7 linked regions of the Oryctolagus cuniculus genome follow. The protein of the gene in region 1 purifies or fractionates together with the protein of each later gene. This does not show direct contact. Links are inferred from orthologs where the notes say so. Each region holds a gene or a part of one and is shown in the gene's direction. Other genes may lie near its edges. The genes, in order: ANAPC2, CDC26, ANAPC16, NEK2, ANAPC13, ANAPC7 and ANAPC4.

Evidence for each region.
Region 2: the proteins of ANAPC2 (region 1) and CDC26 purify together in Homo sapiens (co-immunoprecipitation; 7 studies listed by BioGRID and IntAct, with this or other methods). This does not show direct contact. The link is inferred for Oryctolagus cuniculus from reciprocal best matches to the Homo sapiens genes ANAPC2 and CDC26.
Region 3: the proteins of ANAPC2 (region 1) and ANAPC16 purify together in Homo sapiens (co-immunoprecipitation; 5 studies listed by BioGRID and IntAct, with this or other methods). This does not show direct contact. The link is inferred for Oryctolagus cuniculus from reciprocal best matches to the Homo sapiens genes ANAPC2 and ANAPC16.
Region 4: the proteins of ANAPC2 (region 1) and NEK2 purify together in Homo sapiens (affinity purification with mass spectrometry; 4 studies listed by BioGRID and IntAct, with this or other methods). This does not show direct contact. The link is inferred for Oryctolagus cuniculus from reciprocal best matches to the Homo sapiens genes ANAPC2 and NEK2.
Region 5: the proteins of ANAPC2 (region 1) and ANAPC13 purify together in Homo sapiens (affinity purification with mass spectrometry; 3 studies listed by BioGRID and IntAct, counting the BioPlex papers as one, with this or other methods). This does not show direct contact. The link is inferred for Oryctolagus cuniculus from reciprocal best matches to the Homo sapiens genes ANAPC2 and ANAPC13.
Region 6: the proteins of ANAPC2 (region 1) and ANAPC7 fractionate together in Homo sapiens (co-fractionation; 6 studies listed by BioGRID and IntAct, with this or other methods). This does not show direct contact. The link is inferred for Oryctolagus cuniculus from reciprocal best matches to the Homo sapiens genes ANAPC2 and ANAPC7.
Region 7: the proteins of ANAPC2 (region 1) and ANAPC4 purify together in Homo sapiens (affinity purification with western blotting; 12 studies listed by BioGRID and IntAct, with this or other methods). This does not show direct contact. The link is inferred for Oryctolagus cuniculus from reciprocal best matches to the Homo sapiens genes ANAPC2 and ANAPC4.

Annotation. Positions count from the first base shown.
Region 1 is NC_091432.1:237,481,196-237,485,426, reverse strand, and holds the start of ANAPC2 (anaphase-promoting complex subunit 2), read left to right. Parts: upstream 1-1,431; coding exon 1,432-1,779; intron 1,780-1,942; coding exon 1,943-2,565; intron 2,566-4,231. Other genes in the region: microtubule nucleation factor SSNA1, read right to left, coding at 638-748, 918-1,117, 1,382-1,433. UniProt on the Homo sapiens protein: Together with the RING-H2 protein ANAPC11, constitutes the catalytic component of the anaphase promoting complex/cyclosome (APC/C), a cell cycle-regulated E3 ubiquitin ligase that controls progression through mitosis and the G1 phase of the cell cycle.
Region 2 is NC_091432.1:216,878,127-216,882,341, reverse strand, and holds the start of CDC26 (anaphase-promoting complex subunit CDC26), read left to right. Parts: upstream 1-1,415; 5' UTR 1,416-1,649; exon of another isoform or gene 1,650-2,102; intron 2,103-3,408; 5' UTR 3,409-3,511; intron 3,512-4,100; 5' UTR 4,101-4,140; coding exon 4,141-4,215. UniProt on the Homo sapiens protein: Component of the anaphase promoting complex/cyclosome (APC/C), a cell cycle-regulated E3 ubiquitin ligase that controls progression through mitosis and the G1 phase of the cell cycle.
Region 3 is NC_091446.1:63,342,950-63,346,449, forward strand, and holds part of ANAPC16 (anaphase-promoting complex subunit 16), read left to right. Parts: intron 1-847; 5' UTR 848-874; coding exon 875-1,016; intron 1,017-3,500. UniProt on the Homo sapiens protein: Component of the anaphase promoting complex/cyclosome (APC/C), a cell cycle-regulated E3 ubiquitin ligase that controls progression through mitosis and the G1 phase of the cell cycle.
Region 4 is NC_091444.1:26,251,891-26,256,145, reverse strand, and holds the start of NEK2 (serine/threonine-protein kinase Nek2), read left to right. Parts: upstream 1-1,455; 5' UTR 1,456-1,589; coding exon 1,590-1,685; intron 1,686-2,455; coding exon 2,456-2,673; intron 2,674-3,583; coding exon 3,584-3,824; intron 3,825-4,255. UniProt on the Homo sapiens protein: Protein kinase which is involved in the control of centrosome separation and bipolar spindle formation in mitotic cells and chromatin condensation in meiotic cells.
Region 5 is NC_091435.1:146,958,724-146,962,977, forward strand, and holds the start of ANAPC13 (anaphase-promoting complex subunit 13), read left to right. Parts: upstream 1-1,454; 5' UTR 1,455-1,659; exon of another isoform or gene 1,660-1,700; intron 1,701-1,838; exon of another isoform or gene 1,839-2,723; intron 2,724-3,698; 5' UTR 3,699-3,746; coding exon 3,747-3,845; intron 3,846-4,254. Other genes in the region: CEP63 (centrosomal protein of 63 kDa), read right to left, coding at 1,165-1,295. UniProt on the Homo sapiens protein: Component of the anaphase promoting complex/cyclosome (APC/C), a cell cycle-regulated E3 ubiquitin ligase that controls progression through mitosis and the G1 phase of the cell cycle.
Region 6 is NC_091452.1:8,056,513-8,059,551, reverse strand, and holds the end of ANAPC7 (anaphase-promoting complex subunit 7), read left to right. Parts: intron 1-6; coding exon 7-157; intron 158-1,753; coding exon 1,754-1,943; 3' UTR 1,944-2,539; downstream 2,540-3,039. UniProt on the Homo sapiens protein: Component of the anaphase promoting complex/cyclosome (APC/C), a cell cycle-regulated E3 ubiquitin ligase that controls progression through mitosis and the G1 phase of the cell cycle.
Region 7 is NC_091433.1:20,527,616-20,530,484, forward strand, and holds the end of ANAPC4 (anaphase-promoting complex subunit 4), read left to right. Parts: intron 1-285; coding exon 286-409; intron 410-2,046; coding exon 2,047-2,274; 3' UTR 2,275-2,369; downstream 2,370-2,869. UniProt on the Homo sapiens protein: Component of the anaphase promoting complex/cyclosome (APC/C), a cell cycle-regulated E3 ubiquitin ligase that controls progression through mitosis and the G1 phase of the cell cycle.

The DNA of each region.
Region 1 (4,231 bases):
GAGCCAGGCGCTTCCTCCAGGTCTCCCGCACACGTGCAGGGCCGAGGACTGGGCATCTCCCACGGCCTTCCCAGGCCTCGGCAGCAGGGGCTGGCTGGGGAGTGGGGCAGCGGCACTGCAGGCGGCTGCTTTACCCGCTAGGCCCAGACCTGAACGGGAGCAGGCAAGGGGATGGAGCCCCAGCCCTGCTGAGCGGGACGGGTGCCTCCGTGGACGGATGCACCACGCGGGCACAGAGGAGCAGAGCCCCGTCCACGCTCCTGGGGTGGGGCGGGCACCCTCGGCTCTCCTTCCCCAGGGGCCACAGCGGCTGGGCGGGGACCGGCTCCAGGGGTGCGCGCAGCCCCACGGTTGACGCGGCACAGGCACGGGCTGGTGGGCTCTGTACAAATACAACCTTTATTGGCAGGTCAGGGCGCTAGGCCCCGCCCCCGCCCCGCCGGCCTGGCCACCACGGCCGAGCAGAGGCCAGTGCCAGGGGTGTGGGGGCCGCAGAGCCCACCTGGAGTCCAACACCCCAGGGCCTGGGTGCGCGGGAGGCCAGGACCCTCGCCGGTGGCTGTCTGGGCGGCTTCTGGTCACCCGGGGCCACAGTGCGGTGCAGCTGCTTCAGGGGGGCTGGGGGCGGCCCCGCCCGTCAGCTGTCCTTGCCCCCGCCGCCCTTCTGCTCCGTGGCCATGGTGGCCTTGCTCAGGTTCCCGGTCTCCCTCTTCAGGACGCTGAGCAGGGTCTGCGAGCTCTCCAGGATCTGCGCCGACGGGGCGAGACTCACTGCCCGACCCGGGGGGGGGGGGGGGGGGGGACCCACCCACCCCTTCCTCCCCAGGCTGCAGAGCCAGGCGGGCTTGGCTCTGCCAGCCCTGGGAGGAGCCGCGGGGGACAAGCCCAGGGCAGCCCGGCCACCTGCCGAGCCCCACCTTGAGGTAGGCGGCCTCCGTCTCCGCGATGGTCCGGTCGAACTCGTTGCGGGAGGCGATCTTGCAGGCCAGGTTCTCGTTGACGCGGGCCAGCCGCTCGGTCAGCTGCCGCACCTCGACCTGCAGCCGCTGCTTCTCCTCCTCCTCCTGCTGGATCTGCTGGCACAGCTCCTCCCGCTTCTGACACAGCTCCTCCATGCCTGCGGCGGGCCCGAGGTCAGCGCCGCGGGCCGGGGCCGGAGGCCGCCCGCCGCCCGCGCAAGGCCACGGTCCCGCCCCGGGGCCCTCGGTCCCCAGCCCTGGGCGCGGGCAGGGCCGGGCCGCGTGCACCCGCCTGAGCCACACAACGCCCCGGGGAAGGCCGGCCCGAGGCGTCCACGCTACGGGAGCCTCGCCTCGCACCGACAGTCCCCGGAGCCGGGCCCTGCGGCCCCCACGGCCTCCCCGACAGGCCCGCCGCTCACACTTGACCAGCTCGTTGTTGTAGGTCTGCAGCGCCGCGCCCTGCTGGGTCATGGTTAGCGCTCGGACGCCCCGCCGCCCCAACCGCCGCGCCGCCCCCGTCTGCGCCTGCGCACTCTCCCCGACGGCGCGCCGGTCGACGCGTCACTACCGCGCGCCCCGCCTGCGCGTCACGGCTGCGCGCCGCGCCCAGCCTACGCCATCTCAGCGCGCCGCGCCCAGCCCGCGTCATCTCCGGACGCCGCACCGCCGGGGTGGGGGTGGGGTCTCTGAGAGCGAGTGGGCGAAGATGGAGGCGGCGGGGGTGCAGGGGGATGGCGGCCCTGGGCCTGGGCAGGATCTGTTGGTGGCCTGGAATACCGTGAGCACCGGGCTGGTGCCGCCGGCGGCGCTGGGACTGGTGAGGCCCGGGAGCGGGGTGGCGGGCCCGCGCGGGGCGTCCGCTGGTCGCCAGCCTCTGCTGGCTCCGTCGGCGCCCGCCTCGGCCCTCGGCCCTCGCCCCTCGGCCCTCGCCCCTCGGCCCTCGGCCCTCGCCCCTCCGCTCAGCGGCTCCTGCCCCGCAGGCGTCCTCGCGGACCAGCGGCGCGGTGCCGCCCAAGGAGGAGGAGCTGCGCGCCGCCGTGGAGGTGCTGAGGGGCCACGGGCTGCACTCGGTCCTGGAGGAGTGGTTCGTGGAGGTGCTGCAGAACGACCTGCAGGCCCACATCGCCCCCGAGTTCTGGAACGCGCTCTCGCAGCGCGAGAACGCGGCCGACGAGCCCCAGTGTCTCCTGCTGCTCCTCGACGCCTTCGGCCTGCTGGAGAGCCGCCTGGACCCCTACCTGCGCAGCCTGGAGCTCCTGGAGAAGTGGACGCGCCTGGGGCTGCTGCTGGGCCCCGGCGCGCAGGGGCTGCGCGAGAGGGTGCACACCATGCTGCGGGGCGTCCTGTTCTTCTCCACGCCCAGAAGCTTCCAGGAGATGGTGCAGCGTCTCTACGGGCGCTTCCTGCGGGTCTACATGCAGAGCAAGAGGAAGGGAGAGGGGGGCACGGACCCCGAGCTGGAGGGCGAGCTGGACAGCCGCTACGCCCGCCGGCGGTACTACCGGCTCCTGCAGAGCCCGCTGTGCGCGGGCTGCGGCGGCGACAAGCAGCGCTGCTGGTGCCGCCAGGCGCTGGAGCAGTTCCAGCAGCTCAGCCAGGTCCTGTGAGTACCCCGCGCCCTGCTGGCCCTCGCGGCAAGCCGCACGCAGGTCTGCCTGCCCGCACGCCTAGCCCAGGGCTCCGAGGTCCCTGTGCTGAGGCCGCGGGAGGCTCGGGTTTGCTGCCTTCTCAGGGTTTATGTATCTGAGAGGCAGAGAGAGAGAGGCCTTCTGCTGTCCGGCTCCCTCCCGAAGTGACCAGAATGGCCAGGGCTGGGCCAGGCTGGAGCCAGGAGCTGCATCCGGGCCTCCCACGCGCGTGCGGGGGCCCGGGTGCTTGGCCCGTCTGCTGCTGCTTTCCCAGGCAGCTTAGCAGGGAGCTGGGTCGGAAGTGGAGCGGCCGGGACCCGATCCGGCGGCGGGGCGCGGGGTGCTGGCCTTGTGGGACCCGATCCGGCGGCGGGGCGCGGGGTGCTGGCCTTGTGGGACCCGATCCGGCGGCGGGGCGCGGGGTGCTGGCCTTGTGGGACCCGATCCGGCGCCGGGGCGCGGGGTGCTGGCCTTGTGGGACCCGATCCGGCGCCGGGGCGCGGGGTGCTGGCCTTGTGGGACCCGATCTGGCGGCGGGGCGCGGGGTGCTGGCCTTGTGGGACCCGATCCGGCGCCGGGGCGCGGGGTGCTGGCCTTGTGGGACCCGATCTGGCGGCGGGGCGCGGGGTGCTGGCCTTGTGGGACCCGATCCGGCGCCGGGGCGCGGGGTGCTGGCCTTGTGGGACCCGATCCGGCGGCGGGGCGCGGGGTGCTGGCCTTGTGGACGGCGGCTCGGGCTGCAGCGCAGGCGCGCACTCCTAGCCCTGCCGGAGGCGCCGGCGCGAGCGGGCTTGCTGGCGCTTTGCTCCCGGCCAGCAGGGGGCAGCAGGTGTCCTCTCCGGTGCTCCGGGGGGGCTGGGCCGCGGCGGCTGGAGTCTGGCCCTGCTGTTGCCCCCTAGCGGTCGCACTGCCCGCGGCCCGCAGAGGTGATTGGTCACACCGGACAGAGGCGGCGCGCGGCTGTGTGGGAGAGGGCTCTTAGGGGACGGCGGGACCGGTCCAGGTGCCGGCAGGGCTCTGCTGGGCCTCTGCTGGGTCCACCCCCGGGCAGGGACTGGAGCCCTCTCGCTCTCCCGAGAGCCGCTGGAGGCCAGTCTGCAGCCGGGGCAGCCTGCGGCCGGTTCCGCAGAACCCTTCCCAGGAGGGCAGCGGGGTTCCCCCATGGCCACGCCTGCCGCCCCGGCCACCTGGAGGGCCAGCGTCCACCTGACACAGAGGCTGCGGGCAGGGTCAGAGCCGTGTCAGTGCCTTGTCCTGCAGCCCCCCGTGGGGCCCTGCTCGTGTGTCCTGGCTGTGTCTCCCGTGGGGCCCTGCTCATGTGCCCTGGCTGTGTGTCCCCCGTGGGGCCCTGCTCGTGTGCCCCTGGCCGTGTCCCCGTGGGGCCCTGCTCGTGTGTGCCCTGGCCGTGTGTCCCTCGTGGGGCCCTGGCCGTGTGTCCCCTGGGTGTGTGTCCCCCGTGGGGCCCTGCTCACGGGCCCTGGCCGTGTGTCCCCCGTGGGGCCCTGCTCGTGTGCCCTGGCCGTGTCCCCGTGGGGCCCTGCTCATGTGCCCTGGCTGTGTGTCCCCCGTGGGGCCCTGCTCGTGTGTCCTGGCTGTGTCCCCCGTGGGGCCCTGCGCGTGTGTGCCCTGGCCGTATGTCCC
Region 2 (4,215 bases), about 21 Mb from region 1:
CCTGGCTCCTGCCTTCAGATCAGCGTGGTGCGCTGGCCGCAGCGGCCATTGGAGGGTGAACCAACGGCAAAGGAAGACCTTTCTCTCTGTCTCTCTCTCTCACTGTCCACTCTGGCTGTCCAAAAAAAAAAAAAAAAAAAAATTCTGTAAAAAAAAAAAAAAGGCTCCTGGATGATGCTAGGTAGTGTAAGCAAAATATGAGTCTATAGATTCAAGTTTAAAAATTGAAAACTTGTAACATAAAACTACAGCTATCTAAGCTGAGGAAGGCACGCATTACAGAAAACTGGAGGTAAAGGTAAAGATGGACTGAAATCTGTCATCTTACCGGAGGTTATATTAATATTTCCTGCTTCAATTCCTGCTTTAAGTCCTTCTTTTCCCAAAATCCCAGATTCTCCTTTGGCCAGCCGCTCCCTTTCCTTCTCTTCCAGACTTCCATAATAAATGTGTGGCTTCTTCACCACCGGAGCCACCAGGTCATCAGGCGCTTTCGTTTTGGTGGCCTGCTAGACCGAAGGCTTCGATTAATTCAAGGCTCGATCTTAGCAATCCACGAGGCTTCCCTAAAGGGTGAAGTTCATCCTGACCTCCCCCAACAAAAGGCCAAACTGGGCGCCAGGGAAGATGCGCTTCACGGACCCGCGGGTGTGGGGATGGGGGCGGGAGGGCACGTCAGCCCTTCAATCACTTCCAGTTTGACAGCTTGAAGAGGTGGATTAAACCCGGTTCTCCGGGTGGTTCTGCCTCTGGAAGACGATCACTTCATTCTGTTGGAAGTGCAAGCTCTTTTTGGGTTTCGTGATACTTCCAGGGTTACCGTTTAACACGGGGGGAAACACCAAGGGTAAGGTAAAAGAACCGGCGTGGTGCCGAGGGAGGGGTAGCCAGTGACAACGCTCCTGCTCGGTCCATCTCAAGCGTTTTGAGACCTGTGGTAGCAGAGCAGGAGCCGGGAGGCCTCATCCCAATTCCGAGGTCTCCTATAGACAGCCACCGTGGCCAAGACACTCGCCCACTCCGGAGCCCTGGTTTGGACCAGTCGGAAGTGGTGTTTGCCGTTCGGGGCTGCGGTGGGACAGGTGCATACGAGTAACAGCACATACACTCGCTCAAGGGTCCGGGGAATGCTGCTCTGCTCTGGAGGGCAGGACCGAGTCCGGCAGCCCTCCACCCTGTCAGCCCGCTCCCTAACGGACCCTTCCCCGAGGGACCCCCACCCTCTCGGCGCTCCCTGCCGCAGTGAACTGAGATCCCGAGCTCCGTACCGTGGAGGACGCTCGTGACGAAGCCATGCTGGGCTCCGCAGCAGCCAAGCCCCAGAAAAAGCCAAGCTCTCCGTTTCAGACCATCCACCGCGCGCCCAGCAAAGCGGAACTACGTCACGGACCGGAAGTGAAGTCGGGCGCCGACGCAGCGCCCTGAGCGGCGCGGAGCATCATGGGAGTCGTAGTAGTTACTATTCTGGTCGCGTGGAGGGGCATGACCCTTAGAACCTCCGAGAAAAGCTCGCGGGAGACGAGGTTCTGGAGGGGAGAGGGGCGCGAAGCACTCTGGGAAGTGTAGTCCAGTTGGGCTCGCAGTAGATTCGTGGTGGGAGCTGAGGTTCCTTCCGGGAAGGGGCTGAGCGGGCTTGGAGAGAGAGGAAGGTGAGTCAAGTCGCGCGGCCGGGCGCTGAACTCTGGAGCTTACCGAGGGCTCCTAGAGACTTTACGTCGTCCCGGGGCGGAGGCCCATGTTGCCATGGAAACCATCGCCCGGACCGCTGAGTGTGGTCCTGGGGCTGGGCGAGGAGGGTTGTCGGGGTGGGGGTGGGGAGGAAAGTCCTCCCGGGGCCGGGGGCTCCGGCCGAGCTGGCTCAGTTTGCGGTGGATTTGGGCAGCGGTGAGAGATGAAGCTCAAAGAGCCCTCTAGCGTCTAAGTGAAGTAAAGAGCGGGCGAAGCTTCGGCCCGGTTTTGCTGTTGCTTTTGTTTCGTCTTCAGCCGGGTCTTTGTGTCAGACTGAGTGAGATGATGGCTAGGAAGGCGTCGGGTAGACCGCAGCCGACTCTCCTGCATAGCCCTGTGCTCCTCTGGGTGCGGGGGCATCAGCGATGAACAAGGCATGTAGTGGGTGGGAGACTCAAAATGTTCGTGTTTGCAGAGCTGGAACACCCCCCTCCCCCATCGTTATCTCTTCCGCCCCCCGCCCCCAACAACTGCAGTCATAAGTGCCTGTTATTTATTGAGCGTTTACTGAATACCACAGTTGTGTAGCCAGGAGCTTAATCGGCATTACGCCATTCAATTCAGACAGCAACAGAGTATAGAGGCAAGGAAGGTCTGGTGCGAGACAAAGATCGGAAACTTAAAGGGATCGGAGCCAGCACTTCAGCCGGGTCTCTACCCTGCTTCCTAGTGGTGGTGGTGGGCTTTTCGTTTTCGCAGAAAAGTTAAAATGCATAGCGATCTTCTCAGTATCCCTTCCTCACCCCATTTGGAACTTCGTTTTCCTCTGCTGCTTGTCGGCATTGGAATCTGGTGGACAGTATCAGATTTAAGTCAAAGCAAATTGAAATGTAATGTTTTGTCCTGGAAGAGGGGCAACCGGGACAGAATCCGGCGCCCCGACCGGGACTAGAACCCGGTGTGCCGGTGCCGCAAGGTGGAGGATTAGCCTAGTGAGCCGCAAAAAAAAAAAAAAAAAAAAAAAAAAGTAATGTTTTGTGTTACCACTGCGTGTCTGTCTCAGGCTTCATGGGAGGAGGAGGAAATGTTTCTTCTTTTATGCACTTCTCAGTCCCCGGTTTCATCCTGGGTACAGCCAGTGGCGTTCATTTACATCAGTCTCATTTAATCCTCACCCCACGGTCCTATGTGTGACTCCTACAGGAGGCCAGACTGGACAGCTTGCTTTGACTTCTTTCTCTGTAAAATAGGACGATCTTGCCAGCCTCACAGGGTTTTCGTATTAAAATAAGCAAGTGAAGAATGGTGATGGAAAAATTAGCCCAGTGCTCACTCAAGTTCATTTTACTTTAGTTGTTTCCTATATTCAGGGAACGTTTACTGACTGCCTAATGTACATACACAGACTCTGTTGGGTGCCATGAAGGTGCCCCTCAACAGATACTAAACGTGATGGGGAGTTCTGTTTGCTCAAAGAAAGGGTTTTTGTTAAAAGTATTGTCTTGACTCAGACTGTTCTCTTGAGCTTCTTTGTGCACTTGTTCTCTCTGCCTGCTCTTTAGATGTCGACTAAGACTCCATTTAGACATCATTTCCTGCCATAGGCCGTGTTTAACATCCCTGGCCACCACCCCACACCTAGTCCAGCTTTCGGGCCAGCATGGCTGCCATTGTATTCTCATCAGTGTTCTTGCTCCCCTCGCTGTTAATTTTCCCCTCACGTGTCTGTTTCTCCCACAGGTTGTGTCTGTACCTTTTAATTTTGTAGCCGGAGCACAAGAAGTCTTTGCTAATGAATGATCTGTCTGGTTGATTGAGACACTGAAGAGAATCTTGTGAATTGGTGAGTTCAGTTTTGCCTAGAATTTTCTTATAGGCAGCTTGCTGGTGTTCAGTTTTTTCAGAAAGAGGTTTTTGAATCACCGCGTTGTGGATCTCCATCATGAAATACAAATGTAAGAAGCATACACCTAAAGCCTTAAGAAATCTATGTGTGGGGCTGGCATTGTGGCACGGAAGGTAAACCACATCTTGCAATATGGCATCCCATATCAGAGTCTTGGCTGCTCTGCTTCCAGTCCAGCTCCCTTCTAATGTGCCTGGGAAAGCACCAGATAATGGCCGGTGTGTGTGAACCCCTGCCACCCACTTGGGAAACAACAATGGAACTCCTGACTCCTGGCTTTGGCCCGGCTCATCCAGAGACACTGTGGCCATGGGAGTAGTGAACTATGGTGGATGAGAGATCTCTGTCTCTCTGTGCCTCTCCATCTCTTTGTCACTCTGCCTTTCAAAAAAAGAAAGAGATCTATGTGTGAATCCAAGTTTGATTTTGCTATTGCCTTCACTTTAGTGTACATGTGTAGAAATTGGCCTTATGTATGTAACTGCAACGTATCACCTCCAGTTTTTCTCTGTGTCATTTTTAATAGCTCATAGTTGATTGGATCTGCTCTCAGTGTAGATTTCAGTATGCTGCGACGGAAACCCACGCGCTTGGAGCTCAAGCTTGATGACATTGAAGAGTTTGAGAGCATTCGAAAGGAC
Region 3 (3,500 bases), on another chromosome or scaffold:
GGCAGTACATGAGGCTGTGACTGCTGTATGAGGCAGTGTAGAAATAGAACATTAGAGCGTTTAACATCACAGCAGAACCTTCCCTGAGACCGCATGGTACTAGACCATTTTTCTACTAAGTATACCCTTCAGAATCTTTCGTTAGGGCCACACAAGCTTTATCCTAGTAAACAGAGTGTGCCTGTTTTGAACTTTTGTAAAAAGTCGTGTCTTCAGTATAGATTTTCTCATTTACATTTGAATTTTTGATATGACAGGGACTAAACACGAGCAGCTGCTGTATTCCTAGCAGGTCAGGATTTCCAGCATCCTTGTCTGAGCTGTTTTGTTCCAGTTTTGGGATGCCACCAAGTGATAAGTTTCGGTACTACATTTGGGTGGAAAGGTTAAAAAAATGTTTAATGAAAGGGCCAATACGTATTTCCTAACCAATTTTCCCTTCCTTGGGAACAGAACACAGTGTTATTCTGAAATTTTATGTGGAAAATTTTATAAGTGAATTTCTTGGTGTGGTTTGGTCAGAGTGTGTCCAAGACAAACTGTCCTATGGAGGATGGTGGTTTAATTTCCACAGTCAGATTTGTGCTTGGCCCTGCCATGGCTCCCCTTCATAACTCGTAAATCACCCACAGTCAGTCTCAAGTGACACACAGTTTGCTGGTCACAGGAAGTAGTCTTTTCAGTAGACAGACTTCTTAAACATACTTTGGCTTCAAAACGAAAAGATTGTGGGAGTTGAAAAGGTAGAAGACAGGGGAACCTGTTCTGTACAAAACTGTATGCTGGCCCTTGCGGTGGAATGAAATGTTGTTGATTGCGCTTCCATTGCTGTTTTTCTTGTCTGTAGTGAAGTGAGCCTTCGCCTGGAGAGGAAATGGCTGCCTCGTCGTCGTCCTCCTCGGCTGGTGGGGTCAGTGGGAGTTCTGTCACTGGATCTGGTTTCAGTGTGTCAGACCTCGCCCCACCACGGAAAGCCCTTTTCACCTACCCCAAAGGAGCTGGAGAGATGTTAGAAGGTGATCTCATGCTGCTTTTTGCTGAATAATTTGCCTTAGACCTGCAGTGAATATTAATTGTAAAGAAGCTTTTAAATGGATTTGAGATCAGTTTGTCCTGATTTCAGCTCTACGTTTCATCTCTTGTTCCCATCTCAAAATAGTATCTTTAAAAACAAATCTTGCTCCATAGTCACAATTTAGGAGCTGAAAAAAAGACTTTGGAAATCAAGGAGGTCATCCAGAGTTATTTAGATCCAGAAGAGTTAAGTTATTTGACCACGTTAAAGGAAGCCGGCACTAGAACCAGCAATTCTTTTAGCTTCCTTCTCCAGTTTGCCTTATCTTTGCACCCATCTACCTCTTCTTGGTGGGAGGTTCATGGTATTTTTTCCTACTATAATTAATCTACAGAAAGAGCATCCCATCAGAGAGGGTCTAAGAGAAAATAATAGCTATCACCCTGCTCTTTAACAAGGAGATGACCCTTCTGGCCCCCTGAAGGCCCCAGAGCCAGGTGTACATGCAGTCATCCACCATCCTGTTGAGCACACAGACTGGCTGGCCAAGATCCAGTATGGGCTGTAAGCATAAAGCCATGTTGGTAGCTGCAGTTCATCAGATTCATGTCAATATTAGGAGCTTGACTAATAGCATCAAAAATCACTTGAAGAGCTTTTTTTAAAATACACATTTATAGACAGGCTTTTGGCCTAGAGGTTAATGATACCTGCATCCCATAGCAGAGTACCTGGGTTCGAGGCTCAGCTTCACTCCCAGTTCCACCTTTCTGCTATGGTGTACTTTGAAGGTAGCACATGATAGCATAAGTATTTGGGTTGCCACCACTCGTGAAGGAGAGCTAGATTGAGTTCCCAGCTCTCAGCTTCAGCCCCTTTCCAGTACTGGCCATTGTGGTCATTTAGGGAGTGAACCAGTGAATGCAAGTGCTCTCACAAATCAAAAATAATAGTAACATATTTCTGGGCCTTGTGTATAGATTCTTAGCATAGCACAAGAATCCTCATTTTGACCAATGTCCAGGACCCTCTCATAAGGATAGTCTTCTCATTTTTTTTCTTTTTTTAAGTATTATTTATTTGGAAGGCAGCATTACAGAGAGAGAGAAAGACAGATCCAGATCTTACATCCACTGGTGGCAGTGATCTTACTGCCAAGGTGGCCACAACTGCCGGAACAGGGCCATGGTGAAGCCAGAAGCCTGGAGTTCCATCGAGGTCTGTCATTTGTGTGGCAGGGCCCAAGCACGTGGGCTGTCTTTCACTGCCTTCCCAGACACATTAGCATGGGGCTGGATCAGAAGTGGAGCAGCCAGGACTCCAATCAGTGCTCATATGGGATGCCAGCATCACAGGCAGCTGCTTCACCTCTTGTACCACAGTGCCAGCCCCTTATCATATTCTGAAAAACATTGACAAAGAACATCTGGACACCAGTTGGAATCCCGGCTGCTCCACTTCTGATCCAGCTCAGACTGGCACAGTCCCGGCTATTGCAGCCATTTGTGGAGTGAGCCAATGAATGCAAAATCTGTCTGTGTCCATCTCTCCCTCTCTCTAACATTGCCTTCCAAATAAATAAATCTTTTTTTTTACATTCTTTTTTTTATTTTATTTTATTTTATTTTTTTGACAGGCAGAGTGGACAGTGAGAGAGAGAGACAGAGAGAAAGGTCTTCCTTTTGCCGTTGGTTCACTCTCCAATGGCTGGCACGCTGCGGCCGGCGCACCGCGCTGATCCGATGGCAGGAGCCAGGTGCTTCTCCTGGTCTCCCATGGGGTATAGGGCCCAAGCACTTGGGCCATCCTCCACTGCACTCCCTGGCCACAGCAGAGAGCTGGCTTGCAAGAGGGGCAACCGGGACAGAATCCGGTGTCCCGACTGGGACTAGAATCCGGTGTGCCGGTGCCGCAAGGCGGAGGATTAGCCTAGTGAGCTGCGGCGCCGGCCAAATAAATAAATCTTTTTAAGAAAATCTACTTGATGCTAGTTTTGAAACTTATTTATATATTTACCTTTTTGCCTGAAATACTACAAATTTACATAAATATATAATTTATTTATTTATTTGAGAGGTAGAGTTAAAGACAGTGAGAGGGAGAGACAGAAAGGTCTTCCATCTGTTGGTTTACTCCCCATTTGGCCACAACGGCCATAGCTGCGCCAGTCTGAAGCTAGGAGCCAGATGCTTCTTCCTGGTCTCTTATGTGGGTGCAGGGGCCCAAGGACTTGGGCCACCTTCTGCTGCTTTCCCAGGCCACAGCAGAGAGCTGGACTGGAAGAGGAGCAGCCAGGACAGAATCCAGCGCCCCAACCGGGACTAGAACCCGATGTGCTGGCGCTGCAGGCAAAGGATTAGCCAAGTGAGCTGCGATGCGGGCTGCATCAGTAACTTAAAGCTACTTATACTTAAAGACAGACTATGGAAAATAATGCAGAGATTGCAACCTCTGAACTCTCCTAAGTCAAACCAAGAATATTAAA
Region 4 (4,255 bases), on another chromosome or scaffold:
CTCCTGGAATGACTCCTTCCCAAATATTTTGTCTCCGCCATAGAGCAAAGGGCATTGGAAAACCGAGTATCTGAGGCTCCCTCCAAATCCTTGCATAGTTCTTAATAAACAGCTTTCTCCAATTTTATTTTTAAGCTTTTTTATTTTTATTTGTTTGAAAGGCAGGGTGACAATGAGAGAGAGATAGAGAGAGAGAGAGAGAGAGAGACAGATCTTCCATCCACATGTTCACTCCCCAAATGCCCACAAGAGCTAGGGCTGGGCCAAGCTGAAACCAGGGGCCAGGAACTCCCTCTGCGTCTCCCACCTGGGTGGGAACAGAAACAGAGTAGCAGGGACTCCACCTGGGACACTGATTTGTGATGCAGGCATCCCAGGAGCCTGGAGAGCAGCTCCTAGGCAAAGCGTATCAGCAAATATTTATTGCTCACCTACCATAAGCTCCTTTCCACACCATACTGAACAGATATCTAAAGAATCTTGACCTGCTTACACACTGCCACGCATTGGCTTCAATGCTCCCCGACCCAGCCCTCGCTGGGACTCTGGGACAGTTTCACTGGGCTGGGAGAGCTGAGAATGCTCACTTCTGCGGGTGCCCTACCGTGGCTCATTAAGTATTCTCAGTTGAGAATACTTAATACTGGAACCCAGAAAACCTATTTAGTAGCTTCTTTTAAAATAATTTTTAAAAATAATTTTAAAATAATTTTTGGTAGGAAGCTGCGCCTGCCTCAGAGCCACTATATGCATGGCTCCCCCCACGCATCAGGGACTTCCGACCTCTCCCCCAGGTTTGTGCACGTCTGCGTGTGGAACAGGCCTGCACGCTGCTCGTCCCTCCACCAGGCCACGCGCGAGGCCGAAGTCAACACCAGGAGCAGCCACTGTTTTTGTGCTGATGGGTCTGATCTCGGCTGTTGGGCCTGAAGCAAGGGGTTTCCGCCTCCCGGGCTTGGGAAACAGCAGGGATGCGAATTCCCGCTCCCCAGGGCGCTGTGGACGCCACGCGGGGACTTCGGGCGGTCCTGCCGCAGCGGAAGCTGTGACTCCTTCCGAGAACAGCTCGGTTCCCCTTTGTACTCAGTCTCCAGCGCGGCCCCGCCCAGATTCAGGGTACCAGAGGAGTCGCGAGGGGTCAGAGTGCAAAGGTCAGAAGGCAGTTGGTTGAGGGTCTCTGGAAAGGTCCCGAACCTCGGTTACCTAGGCGATCTCAACCGGAGGGATATTGTTGCTAAGACCCACCTGCCTTCCGCGTTTTCTTTCCCTAGCCCTTCCTTTGGTTTAGCTCCGCCCCCTCCTCCCCTAGAAGGAAGTCCACGCTGAAGGCGAAGCCGACGCGGTTGCCTAGCGACACACTTTTCCCAGGATGCCTAGGGTGTTGTGATCGTCTCAGCCAATCAGAGGGACGAAGAGACCTCGGCGTCCACCAATAGATTGCGAGATCCGGGCCCGCGACGGTTAAACCGGGCCGAAGGCCGGGGAGCGGGTCGGGGCAGCCTGGGGGGGTTCTCCGGGGTGCTGGCCTCAGCTCTGTGGCCGCGGCGCGACCTGCCGGGGGGAGCGCGAGTCCGGCGACGGGCTCGGCCATGCCGTCCCGGGTGGAGGACTACGAAGTGCTGTACACCATTGGCACGGGCTCCTATGGCCGCTGCCAGAAGGTCCGGAGGAAGAGCGACGGCAAGGTGAGCGCGGGCCCTTCCCTGTCCCCGCCCCGGCGGAGGTTTCGTCCGCCCGGGGCCGCCCCGGGGATCCGCGGGGCCCGAGGCTGTTGGGCGCCGGGAAGGTTCAGCCCTCTCTCCAGGCGTGCGCTGACAGCTTGTCCTGCGGGGCGGGAGACTTCGTCCTTTGAAAAATATATATATAATTTTTTTCCCATCGTGTCCCCTCTTCTCCCCTTTCCTCCCTTTCTCCTGCTTTGACCTGCCAAGGGCTTCCCTTTGGTGACAGGCAGCTGACCCCTGAGCTGTTTGTGGAGAAGATTGACCCTCTTGGGACCAAGGGAACCTGACATTTACATATCATTTAAATAATAGCAATTCTCCGGATTTGGGGGTGGGCGTTTCCCGATGTGTGTAGGTGGATCTTGTACAGAAGGAGACGTTGCCGGGGAAACTGCCCGCTGCTGAGCCCTGGGAAAGCGTGACCAGTCGCAATGCTCAGGGGCTTTGCCATCCTCCCACGGACAGCTCATAGGGGCGAGGTGGGAGGCCTAGTGCACCCCCTTCTCTCCCCCCGACCCCCAACCTGCAAAGCATCTTTCACTGCTCAAAAGCTGGAGAAAGGTTGAGGATGGCAACACAGGACTCTACCTTTATTGCACTAAATTAGATGATAATGACCTTGGCTTTTGTAGGCTATATTTTAAAGGGAGGTGAGTTCTTCACATGTTGGCGCTTTAATTCTTTTTGAAAGAATGGGAAGTTTATTCAGACCTTGGCCATTCTGGTTCCAGATATTAGTTTGGAAAGAACTTGACTATGGCTCCATGACAGAGGCTGAGAAGCAGATGCTTGTATCTGAAGTGAATCTGCTTCGCGAGCTGAAGCATCCGAACATCGTGCGCTACTATGACCGCATCATCGACCGAACCAACACGACTCTGTACATCGTGATGGAGTACTGCGAAGGAGGGGACCTGGCGAGCGTGATTGCCAAGGGAACCAAGGAGAGGTAATCTGGAACTGGCAGCTGACGTGGGCCTGCTCGCGTTTCTGTTAAGCATCTTGTGATAGTGGAAGACTTCTTGTATTTTGTGAGTCCATGGTATTTTAGGAAATTCCTGGCATGGCTCAACACCCAGGTTTCACATCAAAATAACATTTTCCCCGGGGCCAGTGTGTGGCATGATGGGATAAGCCGCCGCCCGCGCTACCGGCCTCCCATATGGGTACTGGTTGGAGTCCTGGCTGCTGCTCCACTTCTGATCCCAGCTCCTTGCTAATGTGCCTGGGAAAGAAGAGGAGGATGGCACAAGTCCTTGGGCCTCTACACCCACATGGGAGACCTGGAGGAAGCTCCTGGCTCCTGGCTTCAGCCTGGCGCAGCCCTGGCTGTTGTAGCCATTTGGGGAGTGAACCAGTGGAATGGAAGACCTCTCTCTGTCTCCTCTCTCTCTGTAACTCTGCCTTTCAAATAAAATAAATTTTTTTTTAAGAATTACTTTATTTGAAAGACGGAGTTGCAGAAAGTGGTAGAGCCAGAGAGAGGTCTTCCATTCTGCTGGTTCACTCCCCAAATGACTGCAACAGCCAGAGCTGAGCTGATCTGAAGCCAGGATCCAGGAGTTTTTTCCAGGTTTCCCACACAGGTACGGAGCCCCAAGGGCTTGGACCATCTTCCACTGCCTTCCCAGGCCATAGCAGAAAGCTGGATTGGAAGAGGAGCAGCCAGGATTTGAACTGACGTCCATGTGGGGTGCCGGCACTGCAGGCTGGGGCTTTAACCCACTATGCAATAAATCTTTAAAAAATATAACATCGTGCCCCATTCGTCCACATTAAAAGCCAGATAATCCACTGCATCCCGTCCCATCCTTGTAACGATCCCAGAATTCCATGCTGTGTAACTGCTTTGCTTTCAGACAGTACTTAGATGAAGACTTTGTTCTTCGAGTGATGACTCAGTTGACGCTGGCCCTAAAAGAGTGTCACCGGCGAAGTGACGGCGGCCACACTGTGCTGCATCGGGACCTGAAACCAGCCAACGTTTTCCTGGATGGCAAGCAAAACGTCAAGCTTGGAGACTTTGGGCTAGCGAGGATATTAAACCACGATACGAGTTTTGCAAAGACCTTTGTTGGGACACCTTATTACATGTCTCCTGTGAGTACCCCTGAATTTTGTGACTTTTTGACCATCTGAATGCTAAATGTCCAAACGCAAGGACATTCAGTCTGTTGGTTTGTTTGTTTAGTAATATCTAATAGCCCAAAATTAATAATGTTATTTATTTTGAAGTTTACATTTTTCCCGATGAGCCACCTGACCATTAAGTTCCTGTAGGTTAGTAGTTCAACTCGAGCTTTTATGGAACTTTTTTTTTTTTTTTTTGACAGGCAGAGTGGACAGTGAGAGAGAGAGAGACAGAGAGAAAGGTCTTCCTTTGCCGTTGGTTCACCCTCCAATGGCCGCTGCGGCCGGCGCACCGCACTGATCCGATGGCAGGAGCCAGGTACTTATCCTGGTCTCCCATGGGGTGCAGGGCCCAAGTAGTTGGGCCATCCTCCACTGCGCTCACTGGCCACAGCAGAGAG
Region 5 (4,254 bases), on another chromosome or scaffold:
TGTAACAATTTTACAGCTGCACTGTTCAAACAGTAACCACGGGAGGAGCTGCAGCTGTACCAAGCACTATGCAATGCAGAACTGGACTGTGTGCTCTGCCATGTTAATCAGCGTACCCGCTGCAGCTGGCTAGGCGGAGGTGCAATTCCAGGGGACCCAAGCACACCTCGGGAGGCAAACAGGTCAGTGTAGAACAGCAGAAAGAGGCCAGAGAGCCGTTTGCAGGTAGGATTTAAAAGGTCTATCAGTCAAGCACACAGGGAGATCTCGGGGTGAGACCTGGGATCAACTACACACAGGGATGGGGCAGCTGAAGAAACCCGAGCCCCGCGGAGGCCCACAGTAGGGAATTCTGATCTCCACAGGTGTGAGAGTTCTGTGGCTTTGTGCAACTGCAGAAACCAACCTAGCTCTTGGGGGCGGAGGGGAGGGCTAACATAAACCAGAAATTCAATGCCTGCAACTTTGAGGTCCATGTTGCTTTTTGCAAGCCGACAGCGTGCGTGCGGAGCAGGAAGGTAGCCGTGAGAGTGGCCCACACAGAGGAGCGCGGGGACTAATCGACCTAAACAACCCTTAGAAGCGAGTTTATGAACTTGACTCGCACGGGCTGCAGAGGGCAGTGTCTAGGTGGTTACACATCTCTAGCCCATTCCAGTTTCAGGGCCTTGCTAACTAGCAAGGAGCTCAGCAGGAAAACCAAGGGCACCGCCTTCCGAGCAAGCGAACACAGACTCGATCACCAAGCTACATCCGTTAAAGATTCAGTATGCAGCCCGTGTCGCTCCTGGTTTCCTCTTCGTAAACTCAAACTACACGGGGAGCAAAACTGTGCAAACGCGGGGCGTCTGAAGCCGACATCGGGGGTCCGACCCTGGGCTCGGGGGAAGCTGCTTCGTGCAGCCCTAAACGAACAGGAGCTTCCGCCACTGTCCCAGGGCCGCCAGGGCACCGCAGATCCAGCCCCAGGAGCCTGGTCGTGTAGGGCGTTACTGAGCAACCGCTCCAAGCCATTTCCTTCTATGTGAATATGAACGTCGAGGGCGGCCTGCCTCCTCCAACCCCGCCGACGCCACCCTGCAGCCTCCCCGCGCAGGGAGCACTCCACGCAGCGGCGCCCGAGCCCGCGACCCCCCTCCGGCCGGCCTGCGGGCCACGGCTGACCTCCCCGCAGGGCCGCACGCCACCGCGGACTGGGCCACGGCCGCCTTCGCGGGGCCACAAGGCGTGGGCGGGCAGGCCGAGGGGCGCCCCTGGTGGCCGGCGGGCTGCTGCAGAAGCCAGTCCCGGGCCATGCGGCCGCGCGGCTGGGGGCACCAGGTTGGCCAGGGCCTCCGGACCAGGACACGCCCGCCCCTCGCAGGGGCCTAGGTCCCCACTGGCGGTTACCCAGCGGCCGCCGCGAGCGCGCCCGTGGCCTTCCCGTCGTTACCTCGGGACGGGCCCGCGCACGCGCGGCGCCGCCGATCTTACGTCCTCCCTCTGCCGCCGACACGTTCGTTCCGCCCACTGCCGCCTCACCCCCCCCCCAACCCGGACCGCCCCTCCGCGCGCATAAATGGGCTCACCCACATCCGGGGATCTGGGAGACGGGCGAACGGGTCACGTGGTGCCGGGGTGTGGCCGGGAGGAAGCGCTGCTGCTTTGGGCCGGGTGCTGGTAAGAGTTTCCTGCGTTCGTGGCGCGGGTCTTGGTGTGACGGGGTCGAGTGCAGCGGCCGCGGCCGATGCCTTCACCTCACCCTTGGAGTGTGGCGGGCTGGAAGGCCCTGACGTGGCGGCCCCAGACCTCCCCCTCCTGGTTTCCCCAGTTGGTAGCGCCCGCCTCGGGCCGGAAGCCGTGGTTGTGGGTTGGCCTTCCCGGTACGGTGGCCTGCGAGGGTCATTTGTAGCGCCACAGAAAAGCTGGGGTGGTGTTTTGTCTTTGATCGTGTAAATGCTTAGTCACAAAGCTTTGGGAGACAGAGATGGACAAGACGTGCCCCTGTCGCAGGGAAGGCACGCACTGTCTGTCTCCCTTGTTGGCGCCAGGCACGGCGCCCCCAGGACAAGTAGGGCTGGTTGGCACACTGGTCAGCGGTGGCCCTCTGGCCGGTGCGGAGAGTGGTGTGACGGGAATTTGTTGATCAGGGCCGGGGTTCCCGTGAGGCATGCAGAACGGAGCCTAGCCTTGCTGTAGAGGTGGTGATTTAATCCTGAGTCCTGGGTCTGGGGTCCGGGTCCGGGGCGGGGGGCAACCTAGCCCGGACACCATTCCCTGCATGCAGTGGGTTCACCTGAAGTCGCCAGACTGCAGGCCAGCGGGGAAGGCGAGGTCTGATGCAGAGGCGCTAGGGGCAGGATTTCAGAGCGGGAGAGTGGGACTGGGCGGGCGGTGTTTGCGGACAGGTGGAAGAGACCTGCTGGGGGATCCTGGTGCAGGATTTGCACCTGCAGCCAGACAGGCGTGCCCGAGCCGCGGGCCGCAGAGCTGAGCTCGCTTGTGTCTGGATGAGTCAGGACCGAGGTCTCCGGAAGCTTTTATAGGAGGGGGCTCTGCGAGGGCCTGGGAAAACCAGCAAAGGGGACAGACTGCACCGCATATAACTGCACCTGAGCCTCAGGAGCCCTGAAGACAGGCTCCTTCAACGAGTCGCCGCGTGGTCCTGGGCCAGCCTTGGGGCCCCACGCGGCTTGCTGGTAGCGGAAGGAGCGCCTTTGCCGCAGTTCTGCCCGTTCACCGAGGTTAGAAACCTCTCCGCACCCCGACGCGGGTAGAATTACGGTCCAGGGGTTAGGAGCCGTCTTGCTGTTAGGAGAGCAGAGGCCCGTGGATGGAGTGGGATCCCGCCGCCCGCCGAGGTTTTCTGTGTGCGCCTCCGCAGTGTCAGATGCCGGGAGGGCCTGAGGGCGCCTTTGGTCCAGTGGAGTGCGGGCCGTTGGGATTAACGTGGAGGAACGCTAGCGATGAGGGAACCTGCCAGCCAGGCCTCTGCATGAGGTTGCAGCTGCTCAGGGGACAATGAGGCTGGCAGGAGGCATCTGTGCACTGAGTGCAGCTGGGAGTGGGGAGATACCATGGTCCCTGAGAGGGGGGAGGGAGACACCATCGTCACTGAAGGGCGGGGGGGAGATACCGTGGTTACTGAGGGGGGTATACCATGGTCCCTGAGAGGGGGCAGGGAGACACCATCCTCACTGAAGAGCATGGGGAGAGGGGATGGGAGGGGAGATACCATGGTCCTTGAGAAGGGGGAGTGGGGAGATACCATGGTCGCTGAGGGGGGCGGGATGGAGATACCCTGGTCTCAGAGTGGGGGAGCAGCCTGGGATGCCCCAGTTGCTCACCTGGAGGTGCCCCTCTCGGAGCTCGGCCGGGCCACTGTTTTAGGAAGGAAGCAAGCTTTCCGACGCTCTCGCCGTCCCTGGCCTGAGGCCTTGCGGCAGGCCTGTCCTGGCCACGTCCTAAGGTGTGAGCTGAGCGCGTGCAGTGCGCTCCTGTGCTGAGGTTTGAATCGGGGCAGGTGCAGACGGATGGATGAGTCTGTCCAGAGGCGCTCACTGCACAGCGTTTGTCGGCTGACCGGGCGCAGGAACTCTGGTTTTTAAGTTGTCACTTGACCGCCTGGAAGAGGACCTCTTCCTGCCTTCACGGGAGGCTCGGGAATGCCTGGGCAGTGCTGGTGCTAAGTCCACATCTTTCCTGCCGTCCCGTTTCAGAAGGAACCCCTTGGCGTCCGGCTCCGCCGAGATCAAAGCCACGGGAACATGGACAGTGAGGTGCAGCGGGATGGAAGGATCTTGGATCTCATCGACGACGCTTGGCGGGAAGACAAGCTGCCTTACGAGGATGTGGCGATACCGCTGGTAGGTGGCGATGGGGCCCGGGACCGTGGCTGGAGGCAGGGTGTCCAGGGGCTGTACCAGGAGGGCAGAGAAGTCGGAGCCGCGGGGGCGTATGAGCGTCTCAGCCCCACAGAGCAGTGTGGTTCAGAAAGCGGAGGTAACCAGCACGGCCAGGGGTCTTGCCAGGGCTGCGGCGCCACCCTCCGGAGCCGTGTTCTGGCTGCCACAGCACAGCCGGAGGGAGACCGGACAATGAAGTGTGCCGGACAGACAGGAGCAGCCGCATGGAAGCTAACCGGGGCCCCTGCTTCCCTCGGCCCTGTCAGCTGCCGACGTTTCCAGAACACGCACCTGTCCTGCGTTCCCTGGGAAATACTCGTAAGGTGCCTGGCTTGTCTTCATAGTGACTGGGCCAGCGGGCTTCGAGGGC
Region 6 (3,039 bases), on another chromosome or scaffold:
TTGCAGGCAGAGAACAGAAATATGAAGATGGAATTGCGTTACTCAGAAACGCACTGGCTAATCAGAGTGACTGTGTCCTGCATCGGATCCTAGGAGATTTCCTTGTAGCTGTCAATGAGTATCAGGAGGCAATGGACCAGTATAGTATAGCACTAAGGTAGGCACTTAGCCTCCCGTGGGGGAAGGTCCATGAGGAGGGCAGAGGAGGCGTGAACTGTGGTTACAGGAGTTCTGAAACACACACACACTTCATGCTCATGGTTGGAAGCAGAATCGTAACAGTAATGGTGAATCCCAGAGCCATTTGTGAATTCATGACTTTTAAAAATCTTTTCATCAAGTATAGTAACAGTAAAGAATTGTCTCCCTCATAACCAGTCCACACCACTTTGCCATCCATGTTCATTTGTACAGATCATCTTCCTGTCCTTACCCACACACATGCATATGTTTACAGTTACACCTAGTATATATTTTATACTCTGCTTTTTCAAGTCACAATACTGTACCTTCCCATGTTTCTCTCTACTGTAGTAGTGAAAAACATGGGTCTGAAGTTTGGGTACTGCCTTCACCTCTGTCATCCTGGCAAGCTACTAACAGACTTCCTGTCTACATTCAGTGGTTGAGGATTAAGTGATATTCCATGTAAAGCTCTTAGCACTGTGCCTGGTACATAGTGAATACTAAATAAATAGTGGTATTCTACTGCTTAACACAGAAGTGCTTTCTTTGAGGGTTGTCTGTGTGTCTGGAAGGTTCTGGTCACATCCGTTCACTTGCTCAGCACACAGTTGAACGGCGCTCGTGTGCCTGGCATCTCAGTGGCCCCTGGGGATGCCGCATGTCCTCGGTGTTCGTCTCAGCCGAGCAGACCGATGACGCCAGTGTGCTGTGTGCTTTCATAGCATCTGTAGAAGGGCAGGTGGGCGTCAGAGGGCGGGAACTGCAGCAGTTCTCAGCCGTTGAGGACTGAGGTGACACGACAGGTTTTAGTCCGTGTTGACTATGCATGAATAGGATTCCAACATGGGTTTTAACTGCCTTTTGGAAGCCCGGAATCAAGTGAAAAAGTCACATTCCAAGCCTCCACTGGACGATTTCCCAGGGATGGGACGTCCGCTGGCTTGGGTGATTGTCACCAAGGCAGGAGGACGGGTTTCCTGGGAATCGGATCAGTGATGCTCTGGGGCACTGAACTGGGGAGCTGGGCACATGGAGCTCAGTCTGAATGCCCAGCGGGGGTAACCTTGGTCCTGGGGTCTAACCTAGGCATCGACAGTGTTCCATGGTATAGCATGTTTGTGTTGCCTACTGAAGTGCTGACGGTTTAATTACATGTTCTGCTCACAGAAAAGTAACTATTTTGTAGCCCTATAGCTCAAAACCTAAATTCCTTTCAAGAAATTACATTTTAATTTTTCTGTTGATGTTTGCTTGCTACTTTTTCATTTGTGTTATCTGGTAGCTGCCTGTAGCAGAGTGCTAGGGGTAATAAATATGAGAAGGTTTAAAAAATTTCTGAAGAAAAACTCAGTTTGAGAATTCTAGAAATCAGGAAAAGACGCCTCTTCTCACGTCTGGTGGTGGACTTCCTCGATGAGCCTTGGAAGCTGGCGTTGTTTGGAGAGGCCAGGCGTTAGCAGTTTCTCTGACTGTGTGGTCATTTCACTGCCGGGCCAGGGACATGACAGATCACCAGCAAGAAGCAAGGCAGAGATTCAGGCCTCTCCTTTGTTTTGTTGTCCCCTAGTTTGGACCCCAATGACCAGAAGTCTCTAGAGGGGATGCAGAAGATGGAGAAGGAGGAGAGTCCCACGGATGCCACTCAGGAGGAGGATGTGGACGACATGGAAGGGAGTGGGGAAGAAGGGGACCTGGAGGGCAGCGACAGTGAGGCGGCCCAGTGGGCTGACCAGGAGCAGTGGTTCGGCATGCAGTGAGGGCAGCTCCGCGCGCCACCTGCTCGGAGCGCTTCCCTGGACCCCAGGCGCCGTGGGAGCTGCTCTCGGGACAGTGACGCAGCGAGTGCTCCCAGGAGGGGCCTGCCCCTGCTCCTGAGTTCTAGTCGGGACTTGATTCTAACGCTGAGCCTGGCCAGCCTGCCAGGATGCCCACCCTCCCGTCTCCAGCAGGGAGGACTGCGAAGCCCTGGCGCCCACACACTTGCGGGGCTCCTGGGCAGGGAGTGCTTCGGGTATAACTAACCACATCCAGAGCTCAAGGAGTAGACTGCTTGTCTGACGTGAGTGGGCTTGGAGGAGTAACCCGCCTCCCAAGGATGGCAACACAGCCTGGCCCTTGCCACAAGGGCTCCTGTTCCGAGAAAGTCATCCTGGGCTGTCCAAGCTTCCCCAGTAACCCGCTTCCTTCTGCAAGTTAGTAATGCCTTAAGCTGACAGTCGCTGTTGTGCAGAGCAGTTTTCCTGTTTGCTAAGCTGGTACCTTGCCTCTGAGCCTGGGCATGAGAAACAGGTATGGTGAGAGCATGACAGGGGTGCGCCTCGGCAGTTGCCTAATAAAAGTGGTTTGTACAGTCGTGTGTTGGGGTGGTCGGAATGGAAGCCTTTAATAGACTCTTATTTTGGTCTCATTCAGAAAGCATTGGTTCAGCCCCAGAATTATTTGCCATAAATAGACTCTCTCTCTCTCTTTCCCTGCTGTTGGGAACAGGAGAGACCTCAGGTCACCCTGAACTGGGCCATGCATTTGCAGTCTCGCTTGGTGAATCTCCCTGGGGCCTGGGAGGCTTTGGCCAGGCTTCAGACAGTTGGCCTGGCGCTTTGGAGCCTGAGGTCCGTGTCTGGCCTCAGCATCCTCACGGGGGAGCCTGCGGTGTCACACTGGACTCGGGTGCTGGGAGACTGTTCACCCAGCTCCCCGCTGGTGCCGAGGCTGTGCTGCCTCGAGTCTGCAGTTAATGGTGGTGAAGAGAGGGGAGGTGGAGCTCCCCCAGATTGTCAGGTGCTGCAAAATGTGAAATGAAAGTTGTGTAAGATAATACCCTAAATATACAAAGTGCAGCTCAGAACATCTGAT
Region 7 (2,869 bases), on another chromosome or scaffold:
GCCGGCCTCGTAACCAATTCTAAGTGATGACTTTGGTTGACAGGTTTTTTGGTACCCAGTTCCCTTAACTGATGTAAAAATGTACCTACTTGCTTTTCCTTGACAGGGAATCAGAAAACCTTACTGAGATGATCTGTCCAACTTTGGAATTGCAGGATTTTTATAGCATGTCCCATCACACTTTCCTGTACAGTGACTGCTAGGATCGTGTTGGGAGTGGGGTGATGGGAGAAGTTGGATCGGGACTTGACCCTGATGGTGACCGGGCTCGGTGTTTCCCCGCAGGCTGGACGAGCAGTGCGGCGTCATCCCCACGCGCACCGTGCATTTCGAGAAGCACTGGCGGTTACTGGAAAGCATGAAAGCACAGTACGTCGCTGGGAATGGTTTCCGGAAAGTGTCCTGCGTGGTGAGTGTCCGCACGTCTTCACCAAGAGCAGCGGCAGGAGGGCCATCGCTCTGACGCGGCACACAGCCCCTTCGGGGGAGACCATGACTCAGCTTTACTGATGTGGGCCGTGTAGCGACCTTGGCTGTTGAGTTCTCCTATTCTGAGAAAGCTCACGGAGAAAGTAGTTAATGCTTCTGGATTTTTAATAAGCTCGTGAAATTCCCGCTGTTGGATGTGGCGATTCCTCTCTACAGAATAAGGCCGATGGTCGGGCTCTGTGGTGCAGTGGTTTGAGCTGGTACTCGGATGCCTGCATCCCGTGTCAAAGGGCCAGTCCCCGACCCGTGCTTCCAATCCAGCTGGTGCCTCCTGGGAGGCAGCAGGTGCTGGCTCAGGGGTTGGGTCGCCGCCACACATGTGGGCGAGCTGGACTGAGCTGTGTCCTGGGCTTTGTCCTGGCCCAGCCCAGGTGTCTGGGAAGTGAGTCAGCAGATGGGAAGTCCATCTCCCTCCCTGTTCCTCTGCCTTTCAAGTAGATAAACACAAACTAACAAGAATGAAGGACACGGGGCTGGCGCCGTGGTGCACTAGGTTACCCCTCCGCCTGCAGTGCCAGCATCCCAGATGGGCGCCGGTTCTAGTCCCAGCTGCTCCTCTTCCGATCCAGCTCTCTGCTGTGGCCTGGGAAGGCAGTAGAAGATGATCCAAGTGCTTGGGCCCCTGCACCTGCATAGGAGACCTGGAAGAAGCCCCTGGCTCCTGGCTGCAGCTCAGCTTGCCTCTGGCCGTTGTGGCCATCTGGGGAGTGAACCAATGGAAGGATGACCTCTCTCTCTGTCTCTCCCTCTCACTGTTGTAACTCTACCTCTCAAATAAACAAATACAATCTTAAAAAAAAAAAAAAAAAAAAAAGAATGCAGGATAGGTACTGGGCTGTCACAGGCTAAGCCACCTCACAACGCTGGCATCCTTGTTGGAGTGCCCGGTCCAGTCCAGGCACCTCTGCCTGCCGTTCCGCTTTCTGCTGCCATGCCTGGAAGGCAGTGGAGGGACTTGTGCCCCTGCACCCGCACGGGAGACCAGGTGGCGTTCCTGGCTCCAGCGTTCATATTAGCAGAGTCTGCATCAGAACTGAGACTTGAACCCAGGCACCCTGCTATGGGATACGTGTGTCCCAAATAGCACCTTTTTTTTTTTTTTTTTTTTTTTTTTTTAACATTTGTCTATTTATTTATTTGAAAGGCAGAGCAACACAGAGAGAGAAATAGAGATCTTCCATCTGCTGGTTCACTTCCCAAGTGGCCAGAACGGCTGGGGCTGGGCTAGGCCGAAGCCAGGAGCCTGGAACTCCATCCTGGTCTCCCACATGGGTGCAGGGGCCCAAGCACCTGGGCCATTTTCTGTTGTTTTCTTAGGTGCGTTAGCAGGCAGCTGGATCGGGAGTGAGCAGCCGGGACTTGATCCAGCCCCCATGTCACATGGGATGCAGCGTTGCGGGTAGCGGCTTTACTTGCTGCACCACTCCGGTCCCCACAAACAGCATCTGAACTGCTGCACCAAATCCCGCCCCTCCAGCTCCAGATCTCTGCTTCCTTACGTGGGAGGCATTTCTGAGCCATTCATTAGAAATTCTTTCTCCGGCCCTTTCCTTTTAGTTAAGCTCGAACCTGCGCCACGTGAGAGTGTTTGAAATGGACATCGATGACGAGTGGGAGCTGGATGAGTCTTCGGACGACGAGGAGGAGGCGGGCAGCAAGCCTGTGAGGATAAAGGAGGAGGTGCTGTCTGAGGCCGAGGCCGAGAGCCAGCAGGCTGGCGCCGCCGCGCTGGCTCCCGACGTCGTCATCAAAGTGGAAGAGCTGGACCCCGAGCTGGACGCGTAGCGGCCCCGCTGCTGGTGTGGGCGGAGGAGCAGGGCTTGGACCACGGTGAATTTTCTTTGTGTAACAAAGAAATAAACAGTATGTACTTTCTCATATTCTCCTGCTCAGTGATACGGGCACTGTGTGCAGACCTAATATTTAAGGAAAGAACTGATTGAAGGGGAAGACAAAGTTTAATCTTTTCTGCCAAAAGATAGCAAAATTTATTCCTCTATCAGGAAATCACATTTTCATAATCATTCACCACTGGAAATGTTGATAGATATGGTATTTTTTTAAAAAGATTTACTAGAGAGGCAGAGAGAGAGAGAGAATCTTCCATTTGCTGGTTCACTCCCCAGATGGCCACGTTGGCTGGAGCTGCGCTGATCCAAAGCCAGAAGCCAGGGGCTTCTGGGTCTCCCATGCAGGAGCAGGGGCCCAAGGGCTTGAGCCATCTTCTGCTTTTCCAGGCCATAGCCGAGAGATGGATCAGAAGTAGAGCAACTGGGACTAGAACTGGCACCCATATGGGATGCTGGCATTGCAAACGACGGCTTTAACCACTACGCCACAGCGCCAGCCCCTGGATATGGTATTTGCAAAACTCAGACAT